2 linked regions of the Arabidopsis thaliana genome follow. The protein of the gene in region 1 interacts with the protein of each later gene in a biochemical or structural test. Each region holds a gene or a part of one and is shown in the gene's direction. Other genes may lie near its edges.

Region 1 (4,100 bases):
TTACCACAGAGGAGTTCGGTGCCGTGATGCGTTCCCTCGGTTTAAACCTGACCCAAGCTGAGCTTCAGGAGGAGATCAACGATTCGGATTTAGATGGTGACGGAACCATCAATTTCACTGAGTTCTTGTGCGCAATGGCTAAGGACACTTACTCTGAGAAAGACCTCAAGAAAGATTTCAGACTCTTTGACATAGACAAGAATGGTTTCATCTCAGCTGCTGAAATGAGATATGTGAGGACTATCCTCCGGTGGAAGCAAACTGATGAAGAAATCGATGAGATTATCAAGGCAGCTGATGTTGATGGTGATGGTCAGATCAACTACAGAGAGTTTGCCAGGCTTATGATGGCCAAGTGAGATTTAAACAACTTTTCCGCTTCCCCTTTTTTTACTACCTCTTATCTAATTTCATAAAGAATGTTCCTCTCTTGTTCTTAAATTTCATTCTGAGTTCTTGTGTGTATGGCTAGGAATCAAGGTCATGATACTAAATATGACACAACTGGTGGCACTTTGGAGAGGGACTTGGCGGCCGGGGTTGCCAAAAATATCATCGCAGCGCCAATGACCGACTTCATCAAAAATTTGTTCGAAGCGTTGTTTTCTTGAAATGGTACATCAGTAACTTTATGCCATTAGGGTCTGGCTGGTATGTTAGATCTCTCTAAAAAGGCGTTTGATCTTTGAAAATAATTTCTATGTAATAAATTTATTGTGTTACCATCTTTTCTTGCATGCAATTTATTAAAATGAGTTTGTAATATGGTTTCAGTATCGAATATAATTGGGGTATCAATGTATCTTTTGAGAAAAACATTTAAAACGTAGCAGAACTAATTATTGAAAACTGGTAGCATTACTAAAAATTGATCTAAATCGGTTAATGATTTGGCACATACAGTGATCAAATCAGCTAAGCCTCATATCTCACCGTCCCAGAGTTCTTCAAGACTCTTATAAGGACTCATCTAATGAATAATGACATGCCTCGCACCAACCTGCCCTGCAACATTGAAAACACACGTCTACAATTTCGATAACCCAAGTGTTTTGAGCAAAACAAAGGACGCCCTTTGACCCATTTGGACTACAATGTGTGGAAAATTACTGCATGTTCAATATCAGAAAACTTGGATAACATGTCTTCGATATGGGCTTTTCTTATTTTGTACCCGTGTAATTTCGCTGGCCCAAAATCCAAAGCAACAAGGGTAAATTTGTATGCAGTACATGTGGCATGTTGGGTCATATGGAAACAGGTCACAAGACTCAGATTCTTTACATTGCGGCGGGTAGTAGTAGCTTTCTAGTCTACCTTGAGATTGCCCCTGCCCGTGATTCTTGAGTCGGGCACAGGAAGTGGTTTTCTGTCAACTTTACTTGCTCAAGCCATCCCCGCAAGGTAGAAACTTCTGTGGTCTTTCTCGTTATTTCTTATGTACCATGTTTTTGGTCGTTTGTGTAGTTTCTTCTAACCTTCCACACACTTGTCTTGCGAATTCCTTCCACAGCAGAGATGTTAAATCAGGAATATTCAGGATGTAGAAACTTCTCTGCTCTTTCTCAAGTAGAATGCACTTGTGGAATCCCTCAGATCAGATTTCATTGGTAACGTTCGTTAACTTCAACAACAACACTTTACTAAACATGTGCTAATCAATTGTCATACGCTTGTATTTCTTCGATTCATTTTTATCTTATGCAAGTGTTTTCTCTATTATGATTTATTTAGTTTTGCATAAATAAGGACACTCCTTCGGAGTCAGTATAAGAAAACTATAACCTAAAATATAAATTAGGCAAATGTCCACTCACCCATCCAAAATTCCATTGTAAATAAATGTTTCTTTCAAATAAATGAAAAAAAAAAAAAAAAACAAGTTGGAAGAAGGAACCAACCAAGTAATTGCCAGTCAAAGGAGGCGACTCACACTTGAAAGGATAAGCTGACATGGCAGACAACGATCCTGCGTAGAAATTGCGTGAACGTGGAAAAGTTTGAGGATATAGCCGTCATTTCAAATAATTCGGGTACTATTATATAAGGCTTCAAGTCCTGGTTCGTAGTACAAATTGTCTCACAAACTCTTCTTTCAGTCATCACAGAAAACAAAAAAAACAATGGCGGATAAGCTCACTGACGATCAGATTACAGAATACAGGGAATCTTTCAGGTTATTCGACAAGAATGGTGATGGTATGGTTCATCAACTCTTTCCATTTAATCGTAATGTTGGATCATGATCATCTTCAAAGCAATGAAATGACTAACACAAGTCCTTGATTACTTTTTGTAGGTTCCATTACGAAAAAGGAGCTCGGTACCATGATGCGTTCAATCGGTGAAAAACCGACAAAAGCTGATCTTCAGGACTTGATGAACGAAGCGGATTTAGATGGTGATGGAACCATCGATTTCCCTGAGTTCTTGTGCGTAATGGCTAAGAATCAAGGTCATGATCAAGCGCCGCGTCACACTAAAAAAACAATGGCGGATAAGCTCACTGACGATCAGATTACAGAGTACAGGGAATCTTTCAGGTTATTCGACAAGAATGGTGATGGTATGGTTCATCAACTCTTTCCATTTAATCGTAATGTTGGATCATGATCATCTTCAAAGCAATGAAATGACTAACACTAGTCCTTGATTACTTTTTGTAGGTTCCATTACGAAAAAGGAGCTCCGTACCGTGATGTTTTCCCTCGGTAAAAACCGGACAAAAGCTGATCTTCAGGACATGATGAACGAAGTGGATTTAGATGGTGATGGAACCATCGATTTCCCTGAGTTCTTGTACCTAATGGCTAAGAATCAAGGTCATGATCAAGCGCCGCGTCACACTAAAAAAACAATGGTGGATTATCAGCTCACTGACGATCAGATCTTAGAATTCAGGGAAGCCTTCCGCGTATTCGACAAGAATGGTGATGGTATGGTTCATCGTCCCTTTCTCGCTAATCGTACATATTGGATCCTGATCATCTTCAAAGCACTGAAATGACTAACATAAGTCATTGCTTACTTTTTGTAGGTTACATTACCGTGAATGAGCTCCGTACTACTATGCGCTCCCTTGGTGAAACCCAAACAAAAGCTGAGCTCCAGGACATGATCAACGAAGCGGATGCAGATGGTGACGGAACCATCAGTTTCTCTGAGTTTGTGTGTGTAATGACTGGTAAAATGATTGACACTCAGTCTAAGAAAGAAACGTACAGAGTTGTGAATCAAGGTCAGGGTCAAGTGCAGCGTCACACTAGAAATGACAGAGCTGGTGGCACCAATTGGGAGAGGGACATAGCGGTCGGGGTTGCCAGCAATATCATCGCTTCGCCAATTTCCGACTTCATGAAAGATAGGTTTAAAGATTTGTTCGAAGCGCTGTTATCTTGAAATGACACGTCAGTAACTTTATGCCAATAGGGTCTGACAATTATGTTAGATCTCTCTCAAAAGGCGTTTCATCTAATGACAATAATTTCTATGTAATAAATTTATTGCATGTGTTAGTGTGTTACCATCTTCAGTTGTGTGCAATTTATTAAAATGAGTTTGTAATATGGTTTCAGTATCGAATATAATTGGGGTATTAATGTATCTTTTGAGAAAAACATTGAAACGTAGCAGAACTAATCATTGAAAACTGGTAGCTCACTACTAAAAATTGATCTAATATGATAAATCGGTTAATGATCTGGCACATACAGTGATCAAATCAGCTAAGCCTCATATCTTACCATGTTAATCAATTGTCATAAGCATGTATTTCTTCGATTTGTTTTTATCCGATGCAAATTTTTGCTTTGTGATTGTTATTGCAGAAACAAGGACGTTCGATGCACTTCCAAAAAACATATAATGTTACAGACAATGTAGTATTAAAAAGTAGTAGTTAAAAGCAAAATCTTTAATAATTTAGACAAATGTAGCGACAGCTCCACTTACCATCCAAACGAATACTTCACAATTGATAATTCTAATAAATGTTTTTTTTTAAAAAAGACAGCATTTAACAATAACGAGAAAACAAATACTAACGAATTGGAACCAGAAACCAACGAACCAAGGAAAATCAAAGGAGGCGACTCACTGGA
Region 2 (4,830 bases), 2.5 Mb from region 1:
ATCGTTACGATTATAAAACTAAAACGGATTGAATCATCATTTAGCTTATTGTTAAAAAAAAGATTCGAGGGAGAAATAATAATTGGAGTAAGGTGGGAACTAGTCCGTACAAAACATGGACCCCACGAAATATATAGTACGTACAAGACACAGAAGTAAGTCATTCCGATGTAGTTTTAGTAATTGGTACAAGATTGGGATATAGTTAAACTAGTTACCAAACACTTGGCTAAGAGAGAGTTTGAGAAGATACAGAAGTAACGGGAACAGTTATTGTCTTTAGGAACCAACGAGGAAGGGAATATCTCTCTGGGTTTATTTAACCATAAGTCCAGAGGTCAGTTCTGTTTTGTCTCTTTGCCAATTTAGCTGGCACAATTACGACTTTGTCCCTCTTCCACCAAACATCTCATGCATTTTTCTCCTTATTTCCTTCTTTTTTCTCCAAACTTCTTTCTCTTAAGTTTCCAAAATACTTAAGAGAATAACTGAATATAGTCACAGTCAAATATGTTAATGTTTGATTCAGATTCTTTAATTTAAAACTAAACCTAGGGACACTTATCTTAACCTAGGGACACATTAATTTTGAAAAACGTGTTCTAAGGTTAGCTAAGGAGAGGGCCATGCAGATATATATGCGCCAAATGAATCATAAGCGGTGGGCATATTTATGTCTGTCCTTTTTATGGCTTATGAAACAAAGTTAAAGCTATATATTGTGCATGAAACTTAGGCTACGTTTCCCCTCTATTTTCCATTCATTTTGAACTCAACATTTGCAAGTGTTAACCACACTTCTTCTAACTGTTGTGATTCGTTTATTCTAGCCATTTCACAGATTGAGGCTAGTATAAGTATTCTAGAGTACATTATATGAATACGTCTCAAACTTTTACTGTATAAACAAAACAGTTTTCCAACCGCGAACAGAGGTTGGATTAGAGCAACTCATGGAAAAGATAAATCGGAGATGAAAAAAGTTGTCACAGTGGTCAATCCACAATGATATGAGAGTAGGACAAGTAGGTTCATTCCCGTATAATTATATAATACAATATGTTATAGTAGCCCAAACATTATAGGAGGTGGAGCTAAAACAAAACAAAAATTAGCGAGAGGAGATCTCCAATTGACAATAATTGAATCAACCAAAACCTAACCTAACATAAAAACAATATCTTGGATTCAAATCCAAAGCTTGGAACGTAACGTAACATGAAGCCACAGAAAGCCAACAACATCCTAGTATATAGGTTGGGTCCCTTCCAGCATTTGTATCATCTTTATTAATGATCATTAGGTATGTTCATAGTCGGTATAAATATATAGGGTCCGCACAAACTGGTACACTTTTTTAATGGCAAACATAGTGGTACGAATTGATAGTAATTAAGTGTGTTTTGGTCAATAGCTAGTTTTTTTGGGGTTTTCAAAGATTATATATCCGTGACCATGAGTTCTCTAGTTCAACTCTCACTCACGAGAAAGACAAATGAAAGAACATACTGTACTAGTTTTTGTCTAAAAGTACTCTTTGATTAACCTTTAGAAAATTGATGTTATCATTAAACAAAAAAAATAGTTTCACTATCTCTTCCTATAACCTTTTTTACGGGCTCATTGAATAATTACATATCTTTTAGTACATTTTGTACCAAGACGATATAACATTACCAATCATCTTGAATTAGCCAGAAACAACAAACTAAAACTGTTTAAGTTTCAGAAACTAATCCATATATAATGTTGAGATTAGTTAGTATTCATAACCTATGGAGTATTAATCTTCAAAATTTTCCTCATGAAATCTGTATTTAGTCATCACTTTTTTAACACAGATGAATCACTAGTCCAATATTTCTCCAAAAAAAGACACAAGAGTCTCGAAATTGTAATCCATATCTGTAATTTTGCACCCCTATAATATGCCTAGAGGAAATAAGAAGAAAAAATAATGGGGAAAAAGAGAAGCTACTGCTACACTTTCAGGCACGTGACAACGTCTCACACGTGTCATATATCTTACGTCATCAAGTCCTCTTTTTCTCTCTTTCACTTTTCTGTTTACCTCTCTCACGCGTTGAAAAGTGCAATCAATCTTACATAATTAACCACAGTAAGAAAAAAAAAAAATGGTCTCTGTAACGTCTTTTTACTGTTATAACCTTACACGCATAAATACCCCTCACCAACTCTCTCTGTCTCGCCTCTCTCTAAAACTCCAACACTTCTCCTTCTTCCATCTCTCTCAAACTTCTGAAAATCTTCTTCTTCTTCTCAATCATAAACCCTAAATCTTCATCTCTTCAGATCAGAAACTAATGTCCATTCAAAGACACCCTGTCCTGTTTCATCTCTGTCATTAGTCTTCTGTTTTCAGATTCCAATTTTTTTTCTTGAATTATCCTCTTAGCCATTTCTTGATTTAACTTCGATTTTCCCGGCGATGTTACGAGAATCAGACGGTGAGATGAGTTTAGGAACAACAAACTCACCGATAAGCAGCGGAACAGAGAGTTGCAGCAGTTTCAGCCGGTTATCATTCGACGCGCCGCCGTCAACTATCCCCGAAGAAGAAAGCTTCCTTTCTCTCAAACCTCACCGATCCTCAGATTTCGCTTACGCAGAGATCCGAAGACGAAAAAAACAAGGCCTAACCTTCCGAGATTTTCGCCTCATGCGTCGTATCGGCGCCGGCGACATCGGAACAGTTTACTTATGCCGTCTAGCCGGAGACGAAGAAGAGAGCCGGAGCTCGTATTTTGCGATGAAAGTTGTGGATAAAGAAGCTCTTGCGTTGAAGAAGAAGATGCATAGAGCAGAGATGGAGAAAACGATTTTGAAAATGCTTGACCATCCATTTTTGCCGACTCTTTACGCTGAGTTTGAAGCCTCACATTTCTCTTGCATCGTTATGGAATATTGCTCCGGTGGTGATTTACACTCTCTCCGTCATAGACAACCTCACCGGCGATTCTCCCTCTCTTCCGCCAGGTAAAAAATATCAAATTTTATTGAATAATTTAATATTATGGACAAAGTCAGATTTTTTTTCAAAAAAAAAAAATTGTGAAAAAAGATTCATCATCATCAATGTATATATATATTTTATAGTTACATGCATTGACTCTGTTCACATTTGTTATCTTGTTCTGCAAGAACAGACCTGTTCTTATCATGTCGGTCTTTTCCAGTTCTTTGAATTGTTATCAAAGAGTCTTTTTCAGCCCATCACAATTTATAAACGTCAATAATTATGATTTTATTAGCTAATGAGTATTTATTTTGTTTTTGGTTACAGATTTTATGCCGCCGAAGTTCTAGTGGCGTTAGAATATCTACACATGTTGGGTATCATCTACAGAGATCTGAAGCCTGAAAATATCTTAGTTAGATCCGACGGTCACATTATGCTCTCTGACTTTGACCTCTCTCTATGCTCCGACTCAATCGCAGCCGTTGAATCTTCCTCGTCTTCGCCGGAGAATCAACAACTCCGTTCACCGCGACGATTCACTCGTCTCGCTAGACTTTTCCAACGAGTCTTGCGGTCTAAAAAGGTTCAGACTTTAGAACCAACCCGTCTCTTTGTTGCTGAACCGGTTACTGCCCGGTCCGGTTCGTTCGTTGGTACGCATGAATACGTGGCACCAGAAGTTGCTTCAGGTGGATCACATGGTAATGCCGTTGACTGGTGGGCCTTTGGAGTGTTTCTCTACGAGATGATATATGGCAAGACTCCGTTCGTTGCGCCGACTAATGACGTCATTCTCCGTAACATTGTGAAAAGACAGTTGAGTTTCCCGACTGATTCGCCGGCGACTATGTTTGAGCTTCATGCGCGGAATTTGATTTCCGGGTTGCTTAACAAAGATCCGACTAAAAGACTTGGGTCACGGCGAGGTGCGGCGGAGGTTAAAGTGCATCCTTTTTTCAAAGGTCTAAACTTTGCGCTCATTCGTACGCTTACTCCGCCGGAGATTCCTTCTTCCGTCGTCAAGAAGCCGATGAAATCGGCGACGTTTAGTGGTAGAAGTAGTAACAAACCAGCGGCGTTCGATTACTTTTGAACGTTTTCTACGGTCGAGATTAGGGCCACGTGTTAGTCTGTTTTAGCTGTACATATTCCCTCGAAGCTGTCCTTTTTTTCGTTCTTTAATTTTTAAAATTTCGTTAATCTGACTTATAAATTAAAAATTTAGGTGACTTTTCATACAATTTGTACAACAAACGGATTAATCTAAAACTAATCTATTTTATAATTATCATTATCAACTCTTCGGAACTTGGGAACATCTATTTACCAGTCTAACGATAGTTAATGTTAAGGCATTATATAGTTGACCAAATTTGGTCAAACATTTCTTACCGGTTTGAATGAACTACTTTTCACCGCAATGGAAAAGAAAACGAATTACTTTATAATAAAACTCGTCACGCCTAGACTTTGTAGTTCGACGGGTATAGAAAAAGAAAAGAAGATTCGTCTTTTGACAATTGTAACACATGAAGTCATATTTGCTCTTTGTTAAATCTCTACGAGTCTTTAGAATGTCAAAAAAGGGAGAAAAAAACGTTATCCATAAGGGTAGGAATCTGCCTTTTTGGATCCGACCAGTTGCATGATCTCTCTTCTGCTTTCGATTCGTTCTCTTCAATTTCAACTTAAGGAGAACAATAAACTATAGACGGCAAGACGAAATTGTTTTCTTGATATAGAGTATCAAACGCATTCCTCTAGTGAATTCGTTTAAGCTTTATATAAAGTGGTGTCATTTTCTTTAATGTGTTAAATCGATTTCATTAATTAGATACATTCACTTGACC

What was found. Proteins that work in one complex are often made in the same cells at the same time.
Region 2: the proteins of TCH3 (region 1) and PID form a complex in vitro, tested with the Arabidopsis thaliana proteins (one study listed by BioGRID).

Annotation. Positions count from the first base shown.
Region 1 is NC_003071.7:17,136,008-17,140,107, forward strand, and holds TCH3 (Calcium-binding EF hand family protein), read left to right. Parts: upstream 1-1,821; 5' UTR 1,822-1,882; exon of another isoform or gene 1,883-2,108; 5' UTR 2,109-2,123; coding exon 2,124-2,199; exon of another isoform or gene 2,200-2,299; coding exon 2,300-2,566; exon of another isoform or gene 2,567-2,666; coding exon 2,667-2,936; coding exon of another isoform or gene 2,937-2,998; intron 2,999-3,037; coding exon 3,038-3,399; 3' UTR 3,400-3,600; downstream 3,601-4,100. Other genes in the region: AT2G41090 (Calcium-binding EF-hand family protein), read left to right, coding at 1-355, 473-611; AT2G41105 (uncharacterized protein), read right to left, coding at 2,444-2,479, 2,924-2,998, 3,048-3,152. UniProt on the Arabidopsis thaliana protein: Potential calcium sensor that binds calcium in vitro.
Region 2 is NC_003071.7:14,589,177-14,594,006, reverse strand, and holds PID (Protein kinase superfamily protein), read left to right. Parts: upstream 1-1,866; 5' UTR 1,867-2,449; coding exon 2,450-2,997; intron 2,998-3,304; coding exon 3,305-4,073; 3' UTR 4,074-4,271; downstream 4,272-4,830. UniProt on the Arabidopsis thaliana protein: Serine/threonine-protein kinase involved in the regulation of auxin signaling. Acts as a positive regulator of cellular auxin efflux and regulates organ development by enhancing polar auxin transport.